Caenorhabditis elegans: one gene and its partners. The protein of the gene in region 3 interacts with the protein of the main gene of each other region in a biochemical or structural test. Each region holds a gene or a part of one and is shown on either strand. Other genes may lie near its edges.

Region 1 (4,959 bases), 3.8 Mb from region 3:
AAATAAATTATTTTTGAAACCTCTGTTCTAACCAACTTTTCAATTTTCTGTAGAACTCAAGGCTACCAAAGCCAAAAAAAATTAGTAAACGAAAAAACATTTCAAATAACATCTATACTGCCACCACTTTCTAAAAACCAAATTGGGATGATCGTAAGTTTTGAAGATTAGATATGTGTATGGAGATTTAAACAAAAATAAGTTTTTAAGTATTTTTGACACATGCAATAGTAATACAAAATGAAATGATTGTTCAATTGTGTTGATTCCTTGGCATAAAATTTCAAACCACATTCAAACATTGACATGTCATTTGATTGACTAGATTGCAGTATTTAGTTAATATTTCGATTAAAAAAAAGAACGCACACAATTTTTGGAAACATATTTAGGTGAGACGTCTAATTAAGTCCATATTTTATAATGAATTGTTTACGTGTTTCTTATTGTTTTTTTAAGATCATGGATTATGGATACTTGTTATTCAAAAATTTTGAAACATAATAATTTAACGCAACGTTTTTCATTTGAGAAGGCGTCGAAATGGAAAACACAAAGAATATCAGTTCGCACAACAGTTCGAAAAAAATAGGAGGACAAATAAATGAGTGAAAGGGTATATTTCAGGTGGGGACTTTTTAAGAAACACTATGCAGTTAGACAACGTAGGAGCAGTGATTCGACACGAGTTGATTGTTCCTAATTAGCCGAATCGGATGAATTTGGCTCCACGTTTAACGTAGAGCTCGTTGACCGATGGTGAGGCGTATCCATCTTCCTGAAAATTCAATAAATGATGATGGCATAATGGTTAGTATACATGAGAAGTTGACGTTTCGGATGCGTCATTACTCATATCCATGTGTTGGCATATGACATAGTGCTTTTTAGCGTGATATTTTCATATATGTATTCCGTTTGTAAAGATAGTGGGGGAGCGGGGTTTTTAATATTTCAGAAAGCTAATAGCTTGTAATGCAGTGTGTACTCAGTCACGTCGATCTTTCATGAAATTCTGACGTTTTTCTTGTGACTTAAAAGTATTCCGTCTTCGCTGGAAATGACAGGCATCGTTTATCCTTTATTAGTCTCATCATATACTTATTAGTCGAAATTTGTAAATGTTCATATACGACTAGAACAATTTTTTTAAGGTGCTCCCCAGCATTACAAAAAAATCTCTAGACTCAGCAAATATCAAAACAGATAAAAATCAAGATTTTCAGAATATAATTTGCATACGTAATAAGGGGGTCGAATAGGATTTTCTACAATGGTAGCAGCTTAAGCTATGTGTACAACAAACACAAGGAAACAAGCTTTTCAGAACCTTGGTTTTCGACTTATGCAGTGATTCACTGAAAAAATTATTTTCTTGAAATACTAACCCAAGTGTTCCTTGATCGCCCAAATCTGATAAACTTGGCTCCTGCACGACCGAATCGGATGAATTTTGGCTTTGGTGCTCGTGCTATTCTTTGGTATTTTTCAAGGTAGTCCGCGTCTTCGGCACTGAAAATATTCGGTGTTATTAGATTGAAAAGTCCATATTTGTGAACAAAGAGACCGTTGTTTTATTTTTTTAAAATGTCATAGAACCTTTCCTGTCTTTTTTCTTACGTATTTCACACGTCAATATTGAAAATGTGTCTATTTTAATTACCACCATTTATCATATTTTTAATATTGTGTTTCGGTTCACCACGACCTACATTTCTGCATATAATTGTTCAAAAATAATTGAAAAATGAAAAGATAAGAAGGTTACCACATTTTCCTTTTTGTCGCTTAACCAACTACTTTACTTTTCCAAACTCAATGAGCACATGCGTCATGTTAGCACGCCAAGTGCAAAATTAAACGCTTCATTTACCAATTGTATTGAACGACTAGAGCAAAAAAGTGGTGGCAACTTTTTGAAGGAGACATGTTTTGTGAGTGCTCTGATCCCTCCAGTGACTTTCTAAGAATGAAACAGGGAAGTTTCAAAGTTGCCTGATATTAAAGAAGCGGGATAAATCGAGAACGGAATGCTAATTTGTGTTACATTGAAGGTCAAAGAAGCTAATTTTATGAATTCCACCCTCGCTTTTCTATTAGGTTAGAGACTAGTCCTCAACTATTTTATTGTTTGACATACTTTTGTTTTTGTTTTCAATGCTTGGAATTCAATGTTCTGAATGGGAAATTCCAAGCTTTAAAACAAAACAAACAGTTTAAAAATCTGAGTATTTCGAAAAGTAATTTCAAAAAGATATTGTCATTGAACACTTCCATTCTTTGTTTATAACGTCATCTCTATTTTTTCCTTGCTGAAGACTCTGGCCTCCCAACAAAGTTGTTCCAATTTTTTAAACAATAGTATGGAAAGAATGGGTCAAAGTGCATCTCACCGGAAGCATCGAATGCAAAGCGAATAAGCAAAAAGCGCGCCTCCTAGTACTCGCAATTGAATTTGAATGGCTGATTGATATTTCCGCTTCATCCGACACCAAGAGTCCAACAGACAAGATGGGATCCCCCAAAAAGAATAAACTCACGTCACATTACGATGCTCATGAGAATGAAAAAAAGGGAGGAGACCGGGGTATAAGTTCGTAGGAAGCGCACAAGATGCTAGTAGTAAAGTGAAATGCCGAAGAAAACGAACAGAATCTAGTATGTGTGTTAATCACGCCATTGCATCTTTGTATAATTAGAAAATTACGAAAATGATGATGAAATAAAGTGCATGATGAAAAATGCGTCACTTTTGAGCAATTAGCTGTACAACGATGATTTAATTTGGATATTGAAACTATTTCTGTATTAGTATTTAGTTTTTCTGAAAAAGATAATTTGCTTGTACCTACGACTTTAATAGGTTCCGTTGTTGTTTCAATCTAGACCTTCACGCACCGTTAGAGTTTTGGTTTTTTGTGTTTTTTTTTCTGTCTGAGTTGGTAATTTATGTCAGCCTTTTTTAAAATCCTTTTAATAATTTTACTTTAAGTCCTAGCGCCTTTTCTTTTTAGGAAGTCCATGATAGTCTCAATAGCCGAAGCAATGATCACAATCAAGAACAAATGGCCAGTTTTGATCAGTTGGGGTTTAACAATTGGCTCATCACAGCACCTGAACCCTAGACATCAAATTAACCTACCTTGATTGAGCGGAAACACATTGGAAGACAAGAAGGGTGGCGATGAAGAGGAAAGCAATCGTGGTGCTTCGGCTGCTCATAGTTGCGAGGAATGACTGTTTCGTAAAAGGCGGGTGCTGTCGTGGAAGCTGAAAGGCGGGGACGCTGCGCATGGCTTGCCAACTGGCTCCGCCCCATCTCTACTATTATGTGGAGCGGTTGGGAGCTGAACTAGAGATGATGGGAAATAAGGAGTAAATTGAAACTGTAGTTGTTATTTTTGGGAAGAGACTTTATCTAAAAGAGTTGTTATTATAGTAGGAAGAGAAGATAATTGGAGAAATGAAGATATCAACATGTCTACTACAACAGAAAATAGCAATATGCTTTTGATAACTTGCGTCAAAGTTGCATGACATAATTTGATGAATTAGCTCGTCTATATTGGCGATCAAAAATATAAAAAGAATCCTCCAGCAGATTTCTGAATTCTCTGCGCAATTCGTCACACGACCCAAAAGCTTTTTTAGGTACTTTTAGGTACTTCCTTCCAGACTTCAACTTTAACAAGCTCTTTTTGCAAAACGGAATGCCCTCTATGTTTCCCATTTAACCCCGTGGAGATTGAAAAGTAAACGATCTAGTAAGCCTCTGGGGGAATAGAAGGGGTACCGGAAAACTAACGACTTAACCCAGAGTTTGATAATAGAAATGGAGTCAGAAGCCGAAAAGCTGATTGAAAACAAATAATAGAGTAGGATTATTTGTTTTCGAACCAGGGTCACTATCAATTGGGAGAAAAATAATAATACGAAAATCAGAACAAAAAATTAATCAGAAACCTTTCAAATTTCAAATAGACTTCTAGTGATTGTTTTAGTACGTCATAGAGCATCAACTTTGGTTTTTAGAAAACTTGCAAATCGATGTAACGCTATTCCCAAAAAACACTCCGACGATCAACTATAAATTTTGTTTATGTACCAATTCATAATTTCCACGAACCGATAAAAGTGCTCATGTACCGGTTTTACTTCAAAATGAGAGTTTTGTATTGTGTTCACTTGCCGAATTCTCATTTCCGTTTTCCATAATATACACAAGAAACAATATCAATTGCAAGATTCATTTCAGATCCACCCGTTTCAAGCCCACATTGCTTCTTTTTTCTTAGATACCACAAAAAAAAACAACTAAACTAAAGTTAAAAAACTGAACTATTCTGTTTCTAGGCGGCGCGTTCTCCGTAGTAAATGGGAGATTCTCCGAAAACTGCAAAATGTCAGTGTTGAATGACCGATTTGACATGTCGGAGGAGGAAACGGCGGGGCCTGACATGACGTGTCCGTTTTGGCCCACAAAAAAGTTTTAATTAAAACTGGAAGCTACGGGAATGAAAAAGTCTACGGGCGAGCAAACAAACCGTAAAGCCTAGAATTTTCAGCATATTGAATTTTTACGCGAACTTTGTATTTGAACTTTTGCTCGATGACTTTCTTTACGACATGTGTGAATTTTAAGATCATGTTTCATTTTCTTAAAGAAGTTTGTTTTCAAAAAGGTTTATTCAATACTAAAACACAACAGAACCAATTTTTGTTACCCTCTTTCAGTCTTGATTAAGAGTACTAAAATAATGCAGAAGTGTACCAATTGGCCATATCATCTGTACTTTTTGTGTTCAATATTACTTTCCAAGAGTTGTTTTATTGTGTTCACGATCTTTATTTATACTGTCATCAAAGTTTACAAATTTGGTACACCCACATTTCAATGGTCATATTACACAGATAAATGTCATCACTTCCCGAAATCTGCGGAAATCAATGGTTTTTTCA
Region 2 (6,380 bases), 2.9 Mb from region 3:
CCATGGTTGATACTAATTGTGAACGTGAGTATTGCTGCAGTTAATTCAATAGAAACCCAAACGATTTCAGCTGGTAGTCCTTATTAGTGCGTGGATTATATTGCGTGTGAGAATGGTTCCATTCGAGAAATATGAGACGAAGAAGATTGAGCCTTTGAATTAGGCAACTCTTTACTTTGTTATTTCACCTTTGTTTGAGTTTTCGAGTACTGTTGTAAGTGCAATATTACGGCAAACAGAAACCGGTTGATTTTGACTCATCGCGTGTCTTTATCTTGTTATCGATATAATTCTTTGAGAATTAGAATTTATGATTATTGAAATAAAGGATTTTTGAAATTGACAATTTGATTGTGCCAGAAACCTGAAAAAAGTCATATGTTTTCAATGAAATTTTGATTTTTTGCATATGACTCAAAACTGGTCCATAAGTTACAGGTAGACTACGGCATGCAGATTGTTTTTATTTTTAGTTTGAAATAAAAAAATGTTGAAAACCTAGCTTTAACTCATGATTCAAATTTTGTTTTAAACAACAGTTGAACAACAACAAAAAAATATTTATGCTTTGAAAATCAAAAATCATTAGTCCTCTGCATTTCCAACATAACGATTAGCCTTCAAATAGTCTGGATCAGTGGAAACAATTCTGGCAAGAACAAAGGAATGAAGGTTGAATACAACTGTTACCACATCTTCGCATTCGATGTCCTGCAATTTGAGTACTTGACTCGGAAAGTTGCAAAACCACTAACCTTTACTTCTATTCTATCGGAATTCAATGAACGATCATCATTGAACGATAACTGGACACACAGTTTGCCATCATCAGCAACGGCTTGTAAATCTCTGAACCGATATTGCCAAATGTAACTCTAGAAATAAATTGTATCAATATCAATAACAGTTAGAAATAGTATTACCTTAGTAGGAATATCATATAGACTAATTCCCTGTTTAATGTCAAAAACGATTCCACTGGCTCTTCCTTCAAAGTTACAGGCAAACGTTCGGGACTAAAGTTAACTGTTATTGTTGTTGAATAATTTAAATAAACTTGCCTGCATTTGGGAAATGGTATTGTATACGGTTCGGTAATATGCTTGCTCAAAAAGTTCAAATGCAGATACAGCTTCAAATGACAGGTAGTGATTTGGAACTTGCAATGGAGTTTCTATTAAGAAACAATTGTCACGCTTATCTCTTCGTGGACTAGAGTTTGGGACCTGTAGATATCCCTTCTAGAATTACTACTTTTTTTGATAATCTACCTGTTTTACAGCAACATCATAACATTTGTACAAGTAGACACATTTGTTGAGATCTTCAGAGTTTAGCTGGAAAAAAAGAATCATGTAAAATAAGTTCAAAAATTAAAAAAAAAACATACCGGCGGAACATCAAAGAAGCAGACATCACTGCCTTTTAAAATCAAGAAGCGAGGTTGCCAGCGGATTTTAAGCTCTTCTTGATCATCATCATTCAAGTATTCATTCACCCAACCAATGTAGCTGATCTAAAAAACATTAATTTAAACTATTTACTGCAAAAACCGTGCATAATGTTAGTAGATTTACTAGTTGACTATTTTCTTGAATATTCAATTTTCAACAAGATAGTCGGCTTTAAAAACAACAATGTTTCCATCAAGTATCCTAAATCGAGCAGACAAAAGCAAAAATAATTGCCTCAAAATTAGATTAAGCAAAGTTTTATTCTGAATTCGTAATTTCCATTGTATTAGCTTTTAGAAAATACATCATTCGACCCATAATTCTCTGGACACCTAAAACGGCTTCATAGTCAGTAATGTTGGATCATTAATCTGATGTGTGCTGAAAACATTTAATTTTTAATTCCGATGTCGTATTTTTAACAGATGTTTCAAGGCAACCAAACGTGCCTACCAAACATTGAAGTCATATCATTGCATACTGACCTGCTCACTCTGATGCAAGTACTTGTTGCTCATTTTTATACTCTTTTGGTTGAGCGACAATATATGTTTGCTGATGTGCGAGATCCATTGTTCCAGCGCCGATGTATCTTCGCAATGCACAATTCCCGACGATCTTCCATCTACTGCACGAACTTCGAAAGAGTTTGTCCTGTAAAATTTTAGTTTTGTTGAACAAGAAATACAAAAAGCTCCCCGTTGTATGTATTCATTACGAAAATAAAATCTGAAGCAAACCTGATATTGTCGGTTCCCCAGAGGTATCTGGTGACATAAGCCATTGCCAACGGAAGAGACGTCAACGTTTTCCATTTCTTTTCCCGTCCGTCAATATGTTGTTGCCATTTCGAGTCGGAGAGTCGGGATTCGGATTGCGCTTTGTGGCTCTGAAGCAAAAACTCCAAATAATTTCAAAATGGAAGCTTAGGATTTTTTCTTACCCTTGTACTTCTTCCATCAAACAGCTGATCCAATGTTCCATCGGGTTGCAATGACTGTGCTGGTCTGAAAAGTAGTCACTCCAACGTCTCTGGTACCCCGATATAAAATCAAATGCAACTATATACTCTGCGCAAAACATTGTGTGTCCCTCGGCAGTTTGCCTACTGCGCACATTTTTGAATTTCAAATGCAGTGAAAAGCATTCATCAGGGAGGATGGCGTAAGGCTCCGCGTGCTTTGCCTCAAACCACCCCCTGCGCAGAGCTCTTCTACACTCTAATCCATCAGTTGTTTCTACTCATGTTTCTTCGTCCTTTTCCTTCTTTTTCATGCTTCTTTCTTCCACTCTTTTCAACCATACTTTTTTTGTGTGTCCTCTCGCCAAAGTAACGCCACGTCGAAAATCGAAAAAGGAAGCGGGAAATAGGAAGAAAGGCGATGCATGGGACTGACTTGAGTAGCAAATTTTTTTCGCCACAAAACCAAACTCACTTTAGAAACGGCGTCATATGGGTGAAATGGCGGACACCCAAAGTTACTTGGTCACCGCTTGATTTTAACATGTTAACCACTTCGTCGTGGCTTTGACCTGGAAGTTGATATGAAAAAATAGTCTACCGTTTTTTTTCCCTATTAGACTTGTACCATCATGCCCTTGCTTGATTTTGACAGCTTATATCTTAGTTAGTTCTTTTTGGTTTTTTTTTAATTGGCAACTGAAAAAAAATTGATTTGTTATGAAACTTAGGACGGCATATATAACCCATCCAACAGAGAAGGAGCAAGTATAATAGGGAAAGTACAGCATATGACTTGTTTTATTATTCAATACAACTTTGTTTTTTTTTTTTAAATTTTTATGTTAAATTTTTGAACGTGAATTGCCAAAAGTTATTTTGTTGCGGCTTTTATAGGCCCCATGTGAGAAGTGTGGAAAAAATGCATACATTCAAAAATTGATGGTTCCATTTTATTTCTATTATTTAAAAAAAAACTAGTTTAACTTTTTGGTCTTTGCTATGAACGCTCATTCGTTTTCAGTTCCTATTTCCCAGAGGGGAACCAAATGATTGGACTAATGAAGACTACTCGTTCTTTTTCTTCCCTCACCTTCTATGGATATTCCATTTACTTCTACGATAGCATCTCCAATAAATAGCTCTCCACATTCGTCGGCTGTAATTTAAGTATTTTTCTAGATGTTAAAATTTTAAATCTGACGATTTACCTGGCAATCCTTTGAATATTTTGGAGATTACTATTGGCATGTTTTGTGCATTTTCTGATCCTCCCTGCAATAGTTCTAAGTATTACACCGGTCCTGTTCAATTGCTCACTTTAATAGACAATCCGAACCCCGAGTCTGGTTTTTTAACTATGACAACTTGCCGAGTTGCATTTTCTAGAAATGTTTCTTTGGCTTCTTCGGGCTCCGCGGTACCATCGTCAATGACTTGAATACATAACTCATCTGCAAGAATATGTTACGATATTTCTTTTTTTGGATGACTTTTTATATAGTTTTCATGCCATTTTCATGTCATTTCTACCAAATTTTTTTTGGAGTTTTAAAAGCGCAAAGGAAGCGCAAGACAAAAACGAAGATGCGGGACCCTGACAGCTTTTTCCTCTTTTCTCAACAACTCAATTGTAGGCTAGGCACCAATTTCCGCGCCATGAGCTGCCTAATAAAGTTTTCACACGACTAGTTGAGGCCGTCATTGCACACTTTTCTTTTATTTTCGTTTTTCTCCCCCATTTCTCCTCGTTTTTCAGGCCCTTCTCGCTTTCGCAAATTGTGCGGCTTTTATAGGCCCCATGTGAGAAGTGTGGAAAAAATGCATACATTCAAAAATTGATGGTTCCATTTTATTTCTATTTCAAGTTCCATTTTAATTTCCTCTTACCTTTGGATAAAAGCAGTCGTGACGATCTAGAAGTGGCATTCCCATCACTAATGAGTACTATTCCATGATGAACCTGAAATTTTTTGTTGGAATTTGTTTCATTTAACATATTGTCAAGTCTTGTATTTCATAAGACTTCAGATTGCTGGCATGTACTATACAAAAATTAAACATGCCCATTAAAAACCAACAATTTCATAATATTTGCTAAACTTACCACATCCAGATTATGGTGTGATTTCGTAACGGACATTTAGCCTTGTTTAACAGAGAATATAAAATGTAGCAAAAATGAAGGACAATGAACTAGAGGGACTAAAGATGCGTGTGTGTGTGCCACCTCACACGAGTCAACTTTGAAGCGCCCGAGCTCCAATCTATCCTATCTGCTCATCGGAAGCGGTGTAATACACACATTACAACAGCAAAAGATGCGGAATCATAGACGAACAGCAAAAACGAGCAGTTGAAGGAAGTGAGAAACAAGATGATAAACAGCTGGTTTGAATTTTTAATATCAGAAACGAGTCATCCAATATTTTTAACATCCAACAAAGTTTTGATCATAGTCTGAAAACTGATTAAAAGATATAAAATAAGAGCTGAAATTCTGGAACTGTTGCCAAAGAGATTGCCGGAAAGGCAACCATCATTTTTCTCAATTTCTTCGCGTGCTGCTTTCTGACTGATAAAATTTTCTACACATTGTTCACAGTCACAAAGTTTTCTGTACTCTTATCATTAAGCAGCGACCATTGCTCACCCATCTCCGTTGTGGTCTAGTGGTTAGGATTTATGGCTCTCACCCATAAGGCCGGGGTTCGATTCCCCGCAACGGAATACCTTTTTGAGGAGTGACTTTTGATAAAAATTTTAACATCCCTGTTTTTTCTCCATTTGTTTATTCATATTCAACAGTTAGTGATTTTCCAAACTAATTGAAACTTTCACTGAAATCTTTTCCACATTTCTGCATGTTGTTTCCTGCAAACTAATTGATGAATATAATCAATCATTTTGACGAATTGCCGTTTTCTACTCTTATTGTCCTTTTTCCCCATTAAAACAATGGGAAAACACGCATTTTAGCGCCGTGACCCTACACTGTGTCTTCACTTCGAATGTCAATGAGCCATTGAGCTTCAATTGAGAAATGCCGTTTTGAAGATACAAAGACACATCGTTTCGCTTTCCATATTTCGAATGATGGACGATTTTCGGCGGCGCAAACACATATGAAAATGTTCCGCAACTGGCAAAAAAGAAAGGCAACGGAATATATTTCACAATCGTTGTTGTGCAAACGAGGCTGACTTTTTTGCCTTTAGTCAACTGAGTCATCAAGAGAGACTAAAATTGTGATTTTTTCTTTGAGTACATATGTGTGATCACATTTTCTCTGCTTGAAACAAACCACAAAGTGTTTTGTAGCTCTTCTTGTTATATAAATTAAAAACGGAGTACCTTCAGTAGGAAAACTGTTTAAACCCGCTCATATAGTGTCAAAAATTAAACGACAAAATACATGAACTTTAATTTTAAAAATTAGATATATATAACTGTTTTCAAAGTACGCACGTATTTTGTTATTTATTAAACCTTGTTGTGAATCATAACACCTTTTTAATTTATCAGAAATGGAAATGTTCGAAATCCTTTTGCATTTTTATTCTTGGAAAACCACTTAAACTTGAAGAGGAACACGTGTATCACGTATTATTAATATGGAAAATTTGATGGAAAAATTAGTTTATTTTTTAAAATGTGAGATTATAAAACCTAAATACCGATTATTAAATAAGTAATCTCCCATTTTCATTGAAATAGTTATATGCTGGTCTCTATTGCACTCCATTGCGCGTCATTTCCAGCGCATAGTACGCAGTACAGTCCCCGTGGTGTCTACGGTCCTAATCCCTAATGTGTCTATGTATCGACTGTTCCTTGTTGATGATATCAATTGTTATTTTTAAATTTTGTCAACAAGGTATTTTATCATTGGAAAATCTAAACATAACTTTTTCAGAAAAATTGGTTATGTGGTCTTTGAAGAAAAAAAACTAATTAAATTTACT
Region 3 (5,193 bases):
GTATTCAATTGTTGGTATTTTAATTTTGTAAAAAGTAAAGTGTGCACGGCAATCAAAAATACTCGGAAATTAACATTTTCGGCAATTGCTGAAATTTCCGCAATTGCAGATTGCTGACAATTTTTAGCAACTTTTAAATTTAATCTTATTCTGAAAACGAATTATTACACCTTGTTTAGTGTTCTGTAAATCATTTTTCGATTGGCAATTCCGGCGAATGATGGCTCAGAAATTTTTCAGCAAAATTCCCGATTTCCGAAAAATTCGGCAGTTTGTCTGAAATTTTCAAAACTCCAAAATATTGCATAGCGTTTTGTTTTACCACATGTTCAATATTTGAACTCTTCTTTTTGCATAATAATTTCGTGTTTAATTCCCTACCTTCTAGTCTTCTGAAGCACTTTGCTTTGAATCATTCGTTTGTAGAACACGAGATGATCGTTTAGTCTACGAGACCACATATCATCAATTTTCGTATGTGTACGTCATGAAAACACTTATAGATATATATGCATCCTATGTATTATTTATTCAAAAAAAAGATCATAAAAACTATTTCAGCAAGGATGAAAGTGATGATAGTTGCGAAATCAACGAAAAAAGGATATGTCAGAAAACAATCAGACTAGCGTGTCGTTGACGCTGAACTCGATCAATTCTTCCGGCTCAGCAACAAGTTTACTAAAAAATCAAAATTTTAATTACGATTTCAAATTCACGTTCTACCTTATTTCAGGACTTGAAACTTCATTCAACTGAACTTCCGGTGTAGGAGTCCTCGTATGACCGTTCACATGATAGCTTAAATTTTCCGAACACGAGTTCAGCTCCCTCTCCTTCAACGCCTCGTGGCTACCACCACCGCCAATTTTGGCTCTTCCATTCAAGTGCTTCGTATCATGCACGATCTTTGTTTTGTAAACTGATGTTTGATTGATTATTCTGGAAGACAAAGCACAATTACAACGCGTTTTCGAAATTGACAACAAACCTGTCACTTTTACGCCGGTCTCCAAAATATGTCTTTATGACCAGTTGACGGAAACTTGGGTTCAGCCACGCATAGAGTACCGGGTTTAAAACATTGTTCGACATGGCAATACTAGAAACGTTAAAATTAATATTTGCAAAAACATGAAAAAAATTGAATTCAAAGGAGGGATCCGGTTTTGGGTATTTTGAACATATAGTCACAAAATGTGCTCAATTGAACGAATTTCGTAATGAAACTTCTCAAAACGTTTTGGGCCAAAACGTTAATTTCAGCTAAATCCGCAACTTTAGCCACTTTCCCGACTCACAGCGGTCAGAAACTGGCTTTATTTGAATAATCATCATTTGTGCCATTTGTAGCTTTTATTTCACGTTATTTCGTTGATTAAGGTATCTTTCAATCCAATAGGTAGCCGATTTTGTTCATTTTTTGTTACTTATTGGCTTAAAAAATACCTTAATGATCGAAAAAAGTGAGATAAACTATTAAAATATGCGATAAAGGACGATAATTTTAAAAAAAGTCAACTTTCGACAGCTGCGGAAAAGTGACAGAAATTGAATATTTTAGCTAAACCCAGGTCTTTTTCCAAAAAATGAACCGGCATAAAAAAATTTTGAGAAGTTTTATTTTGAAATTTGTTCATTTGAGGCATGTTTGGGTTTATACGTTCAGAATGGTCAAAACCGTTCGTTCTTGGTTAAAATCAAACCTGTGAGTGAAAAGGTTCAGTAAATAACTGATATCGTAATCATCTCTGCCATAAAGTCGGAAAAACGATTGTGTGTCATCATATTCAATAATCAAAGAAATGACGTTATGTGGCAGCCAAGTTATCCCAAACCAGACAACCATGGTAACTAGGATTGACGTTGTTCTAAAACACAAATAGTATTTCGGTTAGAAACCTTGCATTTAATACCTTCTGTTCTGAAGTACAACTCGTTGTTTCTCCTTTTCCTGTTTGTCTAGAAATTCGTTCAACTGGAACGAAATCAAATGTGAATTTTTAATTTGAAAATCAATAAAACTACCTCATTTTCATACTGTTCAAGACCATGCGACGGGAATGCGCAAGAGCTCTCCAACGCGCTTGTTCTCTCCACCATTTTGCGTATCTTTGTCTGAGCACGCTTGCTGAGCACCGAAACAATATTTGCATAGCAGAAGGCCATGACAGCGAATGGGACCACGAATTGGGCGAGCATCACGATCATTGTGTAGGCTCTTCTAGACTTGGCAGATTCCCACTTTTCAGTGCAAAAGTAGCCGCATATTCTCTCTTCCTGAAACGAGGGTACTAGTTGTATAAGAAGTTGAATACCTAGAAAAAAACGACACTCACTGTGTATTCAATCATTTGCATATTGAACGCATAGGGTAGAGTTACAACAAAAGAGAGGATCCACAATAGAACAGTAGTAAGAAATGCTCCTCTTTGGGATAGTGGTGTAGAATGTGGTCTTACTACAAGGATATACCGATCCAAAGCAATCGCACCGAGACTGAATGTGCATACGAAAATGCTGATACCTGAAAAAAAAACGTCATTTTAAAAAACTTCTTGTTTTAGAAAAAATACCTTGAATGCATGGTATCAAATGGCAGAGTAGATTTCCAAAGTACCAGTTTTTGTACACATTTGTGATTGGAGTGATTGGAAGCGATAATATGCACATCATGCAATCGCTCGCCGCCAGGTTCAGAATGAATATGTTTTGAACGCTCTGAAATTTAATGATAATTCACAGGAGAAGTGAAGGTTCTGGGATTTTTGATTGGACTAGTCAGAGTAAAAATCTTGATCCGCTTCAAAAAATGTTAAAAACATTTTTGTGATGTTCCATCACGTATTTGGTTCGTTTTTGGAAAAATTCTTTCAAGAAGTGGTAATTACTCAGTTTGACTGTCTATAAAATTTTTTTTTCTAGTTGTGAAACGTTTATTATGATATTTGGTTATATAGAATTATAAGAGTGTTTTTTTTTTTTGCCAAATATGTACGTCACTTTTCAAGTAGACATGGATAACCTCGTCTCTCGTTAGCCGGGTGTCAGTAAGCTGTACGCACTATGCACTTCGAATCAAATTGTTCAGAGAACCCGAAATTGTCAATTTTCCAAAACAGAACAAAATTTGACCCGAAAAAAAAACGAAACGTACCAGTAAAGCTTTATGGCTGCAAGTTACGTAAATCAAGGTCACATTTCCAAAGAGTCCAAGAAAAAAGAGAAAAAGGTACACGGTCAGAAATGGCACTATCGCATATATACTTTGAGAAGGATCTGGATACACTTTCCAATATACTTGACAGTCGGTAAAATTTTCAACTTCCATTTGGCCTATGTCTGAAATTTTTTTAGTCTAATGGAGGAAAGAAAAATTGAGGAAACAAAGATGAAAGAGGGTGTTAACCAAATAGATTAATAGATAAAAAATAAAATCCTATAGTTTCCAGAAAGTGATTAGAGATTTGGCTGAGTATAATTCTTTCTTCTCATGTAAGCAAATTTTTAGGGTTTTTTTAGCATGGCTTATGGCTTATAGAAATTAAATATTTCGTACTCACATCTTTAAAAACCCCAAAATTATACTATTTCTTGGCCCACTAACAGGTTCCCGGTCTAGACAATACGACAAAATTTTAAAATGCAACTTATAAAGATTGTGTGCACTTATAAAGATTACTGTACTTTTCATTTCTCGTTGATGAGTTTTGGTGGTCTTTTCATAGGTTTTCTTACGAGTCTACAAAAATTTTATAAGTTTCAATATACAGTATTTTTTAAAGGTGCAAATGTTTTCAGTTGACAAAAAAAACTTGTCGTGTTAAGATCAGGTTTAGTTAAGCTGTGAAATGGCAATATTTTGCATCTGGGTGATAAGGCAGTATAGGTGCAATACTTTTAAAAAATAGGGTAAGTCTAATTAGGTAGTTCAACCACATTGTAAGATCGGAGACCTTAAAACCATCTTGAGCTTTCAGAATGTATATTTTTGGCGGAATACACCTGCGAATTGATACAGATTACAAATGACAGAGATTCATTACAGAATTATAGATACTGGAAGCACAGGATGTCATCTATCGCTTTGACAAGTGGAAAATTTTTTATTTTTTCCGTATGGTTCAACAACTACCTAGTAATAAATGGATAGAAACAAGATATTGGTAAACCAAGGTTCAAAATTTCTAAACCCTGTGTCAAAAAAACAGCACTGATCTATGTGACGAATATCTTAGACGGAAACCAGAAAAAAATTGCGTTGAAATTTGCTAAATGTGAAATGAGAGCAAAAACAGGAATGATGTGAGAGGGAGTTGTGTGATGAAGCCGAAAAATGGTTGACATGTTCACGTTAATGAAAAAGGGATCGAGGGCCGAAAAGATGAATACCTGAGAAAAAAGAGAAAAAGAATATGTGGGGAAAATTTACTGAAACAGGTTTCAAAAATTCCGCAATTGTTTTCCAACTCTATTTTCGTTAAACAACGGAAATTGAATTTTTAAGTAGGAAATAAAAAAAAGTGACAATGGTTTTGATCATGTGTGGGTTGAGATTAAATTTTTGATATCAATCAAAACAACACAAACCCAGAGGCTGATTGAGTTTTGGATAAACTGATTAAATTTAATCTCGAAATTCTCTGAAGCCAGATTTTTTTAAAGTTGAGCTACAATTGGATCGGGCGACGTTCAAATCACAATTCATTTTCAAGGAGAATAATGCATCAAATTGGAACATTCAATGAAAAAAATCCTATTATTATATTTTTTTTAACAACTAGGCTAACGAACTTATTTTTCAAACTAGTTACTAATAAGGAAAATTTGTTTTCATGCTTTCATAAATTCAATTTAAAGTTCAAGTAGTTGTCATTGTAATTGTTATGAATAAAGTTCAAAGTTTTCAGAAATTAAAACTAAATCATTTTGCAATATATTATCTATCCTCGAAAATCAAAACATCATTAAGAAATATTTGTTCTTTGAAATTAAGGAGACTATTCAGAACTATTTCCTTTTACTGAGAGATTTAGTTGCATGAGACCGAGAAAATTAAGTGCTTTTCACAAACTCAATGAGCATTATGAACACATTGAGGTCCGAGCACTATTGGCGCATCACGAAAGAATTTTTGATTCGCGGTGTGCACATTGTGCCCTGTTTTGTTGGTATCATGCTAAAGCTGCACGT
Region 4 (6,658 bases), on a different chromosome or scaffold from region 3:
GGCTTCTCGATTAGTTCAGAAAAAAAAGAGTTTCAGAAAATAAAACATCGACCATTTTCAATTTTCTGAGTTTCCAAAGTTCAATGATCAATAGTTCATTAGTTACAGACATGGGTGCGCGGTAATCGGAAATTTTGGTAATTGCCGAAATTGCCGATTTTCATTCAAGGATTAAATCATGCCGAGCTTGAAAAGAGAAAATTGTCCATTAAAATTCATGTTGAGTTTCGTAAATCTACAAAAAGTATCGAATTTATATTTCCGGCGATTCTGAATTTCAGCAATCGGCAATTTCGGCAATTGCTGGGTTTCAAAATCTCCGGCAATTGGCAACTTTGGCAATTGTCGGTTTTGTGAATTTTCGGCAATAAGCAATTGCCGTGCACCCTGTTTACAGAGTTAACACGATTTCAAAGTTAGAAATTTGCTGGTTGCCGACTACTCGAAATAAAGAATATCAAAACTTTCATCCATTTGACAGACATTTTCTGAAAATTGTTATAAGTTCATCGATAATGATATAATAATAATAATAATAATATAATTAACTTGAAAACATATTTTATTAACCAATCATCTTATTTATTTCATAGAAACACATGCAGCACAGTCAGGTGAGGGATGGAAAAACGGGGGAACGGAATCGGGGAGAAAAAAGTTGTTGGCAAGAAAATGACCGCTCTCCAAATTATTTACTGGTACCACGACGCGACGTCTTCAGCAGCAGGTGCCACGTGGAATGATGATCGCTTTCCAAAACGGAGAGGTCCAGATGGTCCACGTCGTTTTCCGAATCGAAGTGGTCCCTGGGGTCCGCCTTTCTTTACGTCTGAAAATTTAGCATAAAGTGGTCACCAAACATAAAAAAATTGGTAGGTTAAAAAGCAATCAAACCGTTTGAGATATAAAAAAGTTTTAACTGAAAATAGATAGAAAACTTATTTGTTATAAATGTTTTTAAAAGTATTAATTTTCAAAATGGTATTCTCACTTGAATTCAGCGATAAAATGTATTTCTGAACATTTTTTGAAATGCTGATATCTTTTTAGAAACTTAAGAGATCGAAAAGTTTTGAATAAACAAATGTTTTAAAACTTTGTGATTTTCATTTTTTAAGTTAACAATTCAAAAGCTTACAATTGGAAAAGTAGTCCAAATCAACAGCCACTGGGATTGTTCCGACCGAATTGTCGTCGTAATCTGCAATTTTAGAATGCTTGTTTTTTTTTTGAAATTTTGGTTCATTTGAAAGTCATAGTTTGAGCTTTTAATTACTACTTATTAGTTTTTAATTCCCATTGTTCCAATCTTGGAAATATCAAATTCCTTCTGAATCCTTTCAAGTTTATTTATAAAGTGACGTTTTTTTTTTCTCATTTTCCACTTTCTAAATATTTGTTTAAAATTCACAAAAATTCTCACATGAAACCCACTTCCGACACACGTACATATCATTTTTCCATAAATAATTCGAATGGACGCCGTGTGAAACTTTTGGCACAATTTTTTTGTTTTGTCTTCTGGTAATTTGAGATGCATTTTGTGCCAAAATTTTGAAATTTCTACACTCTGTTTAAAAATTTCAATTGAAAAAATGAAAATTTGCTGGAAAATCAATCAGACAATTTTTGACAAAAGCTTTGGTAAACTTTCGACAATTCCGGCAGTTTAGTAGTACTTTTTTGGGAAAGAATCTCAAAATTTTGAATGTTGCCCCGTTTGACCTCAGCACCCAAAAAAAGAAAAATCTCCCCCAACTTTTTTTTTCATAAAATATTCAATCTTTTATCACTCATCTCAAACATCTACCCCCTCATCTGCATAAACGTGATGCTCTCGAAAAAAAACGAAGAATTTGTCAAGTTTTCATTATCAAAGTGAGAGAAAAGAACAAAAGAATAAATTAGACAAGGAAGCTCGTTTTGTTTGACTAGCTGAGTTTTTGGAATTTTTAGGTAACGGGTTTGTGTGACGAACTTTTTTTTGAAAGTATAAATAATTCTTAACCAACTTCAATAGTTTATCAAACTATTGTCAACTGAAATTTTTTTGCAATTCTCTCTAATGTTTTCTCTCTAATTTTGTAGTCTGCTGCTATGCCTATTTTATCTTGCTTCGGTATAAATGTTTAACGGTGGAGTACCGAAATCCGAGACTTTGTTTTTTAGATCCAAAATGACCCAAAACTACCGAATTTCGTATGAAACGTTTTAAACATTTTTCAAAAAAGTTATAACGAGTTCAAAGTTCTGGAAAAAAGGCTCATTTTCTGCTAAAATCAAACATTTTTGCCATCTTCTCGCTGTCGCAGCGTCTGGAACTCAATTTTGGAATAAACAAATGACATATTAGTTTAAAATTAAAAAAAAATTAATTGCTACACTTGCAATTCTAAAAAAATTTGAACAATATAAAATCGTGTTGTTAATTAAATTTTCTTGGGAAAATTAATCGCATTTCAAAATACTGATAATATTGAAATCTGTGGTCTAAAAAACTAATTTTTGGTCAATCATCGACGTCTGATAATTTTAGTACCAAAAGGCAAAAATTTTGTCCAGTAACCTCAAATTGTGTCAAAAGAATTTCGTGATCAGTGAAAATAATTAACTTTTAAATGTTAACTTTTGAAATTAGCCGCTTGCGTTTTAAATTGTTAAAATTAAAATCCCCAGCCCATTTTCAAATACACAACCATCATCATTCCTAAAGGTTTCCAAAATAAAGCGAGCCCCATGTGTTGCTCATTGGTTTCAAACTTTCAAACTAATCGCCTGACGACCCCCAGTGGACGTGCACCGCCAATAAAACCTTACCAAAGTTAGACCCTGGAGTGTGGAAATGAATGAAAATCGATGCAAATGGCTCCTCTTTATGGTTGATACATGTGTACATATTATGACAAAACAAGAAGAAGAAGAAGACACTACTATGTAGACGGGCGTGGGTGGTGACAAATTTGGAAGTTTTAGTGGGAAGTTTTAATCCCTTACACCTTAGACTAGAGACATTTTGATTTTGAAATAGGAATTATAAAATTTTTATCTACGGTTCTTTGGCAACTTGTAAATCTCAAATAATTTGAATTTTGTCTTAAAAATAGTTGTTGCACGAAATTCGGCAATAATACTTTTCAAAATTACCGATATTCTATAAAAAATGAAAACAATTTTTGAAAAATTATAAGAATTTTGAAATTTGCCCAAACTCTTGATCAATCATCAAATCCTCACAAAAAAATTCGGCAGCTTTTAAAATAATGTCTTTAAAAATTTGGCAATTTTTGGAATATTCCTAAAACTCTTGACTAATTTTCGCTAGCTCTTCGGCTTTTCATGAACTTTTGGCAAATTTTTGAAACTTTTAAACAGTTTTTGATGTTTTTTTTTGCAAATTTCGACGCTTTTGGAAAAACTATCAGCTTCCGGCACTATTTCAAGCTGTCGAAAATGTTTTGCGACTTTCAAAATCAATTTCATCATCGTTTACAACCGATTTAAACATTTTAACGATCTTTTGCACTTTTCCACTTACAAATCTAAAAACTTCAGTTTTCTGACTTCTAAACCCTTACCTTTTCACTTCCGGAGCCCAGTGATCCGTAAAGTCAGAATTTTTCCAAAAATTTTACTACTAAACTACACAAGCGGAGGAGTAAGGGAGGGGATTGTTGAATGACAAATGGGAAAAGAACAAAGAAAGTGGAATTAGGAAATGACAAGAAATGATGGAGGAATGGATCAAAACTGACAGGGTTACGGTAGGGTGATGTCATCGAAATTTTGAAATTATATATTTATAATTTTAGAGCTGTCAAAAATTTGTTACCAGTTACAATGTAACTGGTAACAAATAACTTGTAAAAATGTTTTTTATTGCTTTATTAGACTCAAAATTGTCTGACAACACCCGAATTTCATAATGAAACTTCATGAAAACTTCTCAAAAAAATAGTTATACGGCTCAAAAAAGGGCCTAATATTAGTCAAAATTTGAAATTTGACGGAATTGTCAATGTCGCAGCGGCTGATAACATTGTTTTAAATCACCGCCAAATTTTGAGTATATGAGTATATGTAATTATTTTGCCTTTTCAACTCGATTTAGTTATTTTAAAGTCGATGGACCAAAAGATTTTAAACATTTTTACCAAATTTCTTCGTCTATTGGCTTACTAAATCGAGTTGATAACGCATGATAACTAAATTTTATACCCAAAATTTGACGGTAATTTCAAAACAGTTTTTAGACCATTTTTTGAGCCGTCATAACTTTTTTTTCGAGAAGTTTTTAAGAAGTCTGCGTTTTCAGACAATTTTGAGGGTAGTAAAGCAATTTTAAAAAATCTGGCAAGTTATAGTGAATTTTTTGGTCGATTTATTATCAATTTGTTTTAAATGTTTTTCTTGTTTTTGCTCCAGTCTCACCAAAGTAAAAACTTGACAGTTAATTTTTTTGTTATAATCCCCCGTTACATTTGGGTGTTGCTAAAAAATTTCCATACTTCTTTGATTTATTATCTACAATCTGACTGACTAAAGTTCAACTTGACTTAAATGGCGAGCTCTGTTTTGAGTAAACCGCCAATTTGCCTGTCAGAATGTCGAAATGATGTAAACTTTTGAAACTAAATATCAAGTTTGCTGGAAATCGGATCACGAGGATATGTATCATAAGTTTTTGAATTCGTCACTCGGAGAATACATTTTTTAAAACTTATTTATTCAGCCATTATGCTTCTCAAACCTGCAGTTATAACTAAAGCTGGTCAACTCACCCAAACATGTATAAAACTCCGTAAAAAACCTAATCTTTTTGATTTTTCGTATTGTATAGAATCCGTATCGTATTTTCAGTTTGCAAATCTAGCCAACAACTCTTACCTGCAAGTGTAGCAATTGCCAAAACCGCAAAAACTGCAACTCGAATAAGCGTGGAGAACTGCATGACGAGGTGTATGTGGGAGACCTTCTTCCAAAAAATGAGCCGAAAGCTCTTGCGAAAGCGCACACGAGCAGATAGGGCGGGATCTGAGCTCCGCCCTTTGCGCAGCTCTGTAGTTATTGATGAGCAGTCAGAAACTTGATATTTTTTGAAATGAAAATTTTGAAATTGGGGAAAAGGTACCACTTTTCAACAAAACCTGACACCACTTTTGAAGTTTGCTCCGAATTCAGGAGTTTGGCACATATATAAGTGACCAAAAAAGTTCAACGCTTAAAATACTATTCTATATATTTTTCAGATTAATTTTGCAGATAATATCAAAAAATTTGAAAAAAAATGGATTCCGGTGATACCAACTGACAATATAAAAATTTGAAGTAGCGGGGCAGACTGAATTCAGTAGATATGACACAAAATACTAAATTTTGCAAAGAACGAGTTTTGAGTGGTTATTTCAGCTTTAGGAACACTTCCTGTAAACTACTATTAATTTTTATTTGACTTATAACAACCGAGAAAGTGTTCAAAAATTGTCCGAATGTGGAAAACTGGCGTCAATTTTTCGGCAATTTTCAACATTCAGACGATTTTTGAAGATTTTTCCAATATTTTTTACTGAAATAACAGTTATTTTCAAGTAATGCAAATATTTTCTATATTGTACCATTAAATTTTAACGAATAATATCGGGGGAACATTCCCAACCGTCTCATTTTGTAGAATTCCCGCGCACCCCTGATTGGCACTCTAATTCACAACCCCTTTCTAACGAGAACTTCGAATTTAAAAAAACCCAACTATAGCCTTTGTTTTTAAAAAAAATTTATGTTCATAACTTTCAGATTATATTAAAAACGATAACTTCAAAGTTTCAGAACCATGAAACAGGCGTGACCTAGCGTACAGTACCCCTTATTGGACCGCCGCATCCCCAAAAACTTCAGAGCGGCAATAATTACACCTGGTAATTATTACACCAGTTGTTGTCACTTGAAAATGGTGTCGTGTTACTGTAGCCCCGTGTGTATCCATAATTCGGTCATATTTCAAACGAAACCGGCACAATATTGCAGAGAGACAATTGACTTTTATGTATGCAATTAACGGAACTAACAAAGTGGAAATGGTATTTCTGTAGTTTGTTGAGATGAGAAGTTGAGGGGAAAAACTTGGAACCTTTTTTTAAATACATTTTTAAGTATCAACTTAAATAAAATTGAGCAAAATTATATTTCGAAATTTGAAAGTTTTACAAAATTTTGATAATAACTCAATCCTCAATGGCTTTTTTTTTGAAACAGAATTGAGATATTGGCAGAATTCAAGACACCGTTTAAAATTTTCCGCGTTATATTGGATAGATTTTCGGAATTCAAGATTTCGGGAAAAAATTTAAAATTCTGCCCGCCGAATTAATTCAGCGAGTGTTTTTTTTCGGTGTTTAAAATTCCGTTTTCTTCATTTTTTTTTCAATGATATATTTTTATTGTAGTTTGAAAATTTTGATAATTGAAAAATATCCTAACCTAGTAACAAGTTGTAACAACAGACGCCTCGTAGGTTTCAAAATTAAACCTGCAATATAGGCGATTTTCAACATTCAGATTCAATATTCAACATTCAACAGCTTCCGTGATATTGCTATTTGAAAAATTATCAACTGGCAAAATGAAAAAGTATTTGTAAACCTATATAGCAACCGATGAAAAT

Evidence for each region.
Region 1: of the proteins of npr-1 (region 3) and flp-5, one has a biochemical effect on the other in vitro, tested with the Caenorhabditis elegans proteins (one study listed by BioGRID).
Region 2: the proteins of npr-1 (region 3) and stn-2 form a complex in vitro, tested with the Caenorhabditis elegans proteins (one study listed by BioGRID).
Region 4: of the proteins of npr-1 (region 3) and flp-15, one has a biochemical effect on the other in vitro, tested with the Caenorhabditis elegans proteins (one study listed by BioGRID).

The regions. Positions count from the first base shown.
Region 1 is NC_003284.9:8,526,585-8,531,543, reverse strand, and holds flp-5 (GAKFIRF-amide), read right to left. Parts: upstream 3,224-4,959; 5' UTR 3,223-3,223; coding exon 3,143-3,222; intron 1,513-3,142; coding exon 1,389-1,512; intron 779-1,388; coding exon 704-778; 3' UTR 511-703; downstream 1-510. UniProt on the Caenorhabditis elegans protein: FMRFamides and FMRFamide-like peptides are neuropeptides. GAKFIRF-amide has an excitatory effect on dissected pharyngeal myogenic muscle system.
Region 2 is NC_003284.9:7,675,967-7,682,346, forward strand, and holds stn-2 (PDZ domain-containing protein), read right to left. Parts: upstream 4,654-6,380; 5' UTR 4,559-4,653; coding exon 4,523-4,558; intron 4,379-4,522; coding exon 4,306-4,378; intron 3,870-4,305; coding exon 3,736-3,869; intron 3,691-3,735; coding exon 3,627-3,690; intron 3,575-3,626; coding exon 3,509-3,574; intron 2,988-3,508; coding exon 2,891-2,987; intron 2,462-2,890; coding exon 2,398-2,461; intron 2,344-2,397; coding exon 2,195-2,343; intron 2,109-2,194; coding exon 1,940-2,108; intron 1,517-1,939; coding exon 1,391-1,516; intron 1,338-1,390; coding exon 1,272-1,337; intron 1,227-1,271; coding exon 1,062-1,226; intron 1,017-1,061; coding exon 924-1,016; intron 876-923; coding exon 756-875; intron 712-755; coding exon 586-711; 3' UTR 545-585; downstream 1-544. Other genes in the region: mfsd-8.5 (Major facilitator superfamily (MFS) profile domain-containing protein), read left to right, coding at 1-24, 71-163.
Region 3 is NC_003284.9:4,766,644-4,771,836, forward strand, and holds npr-1 (Neuropeptide receptor npr-1), read right to left. Parts: upstream 3,343-5,193; 5' UTR 3,332-3,342; coding exon 3,158-3,331; intron 2,722-3,157; coding exon 2,577-2,721; intron 2,528-2,576; coding exon 2,340-2,527; intron 2,281-2,339; coding exon 2,029-2,280; intron 1,979-2,028; coding exon 1,917-1,978; intron 1,872-1,916; coding exon 1,707-1,871; intron 1,103-1,706; coding exon 992-1,102; intron 943-991; coding exon 727-942; intron 682-726; coding exon 621-681; 3' UTR 509-620; downstream 1-508. UniProt on the Caenorhabditis elegans protein: G-protein coupled receptor for FARP(FMRFamide related peptide) neuropeptides. Activated by FARP neuropeptides flp-18 and flp-21. Plays a role in modulating social and feeding behavior.
Region 4 is NC_003281.10:13,662,856-13,669,513, forward strand, and holds flp-15 (FMRF-Like Peptide), read right to left. Parts: upstream 4,985-6,658; 5' UTR 4,949-4,984; coding exon 4,885-4,948; intron 1,202-4,884; coding exon 1,139-1,201; intron 830-1,138; coding exon 693-829; 3' UTR 545-692; downstream 1-544.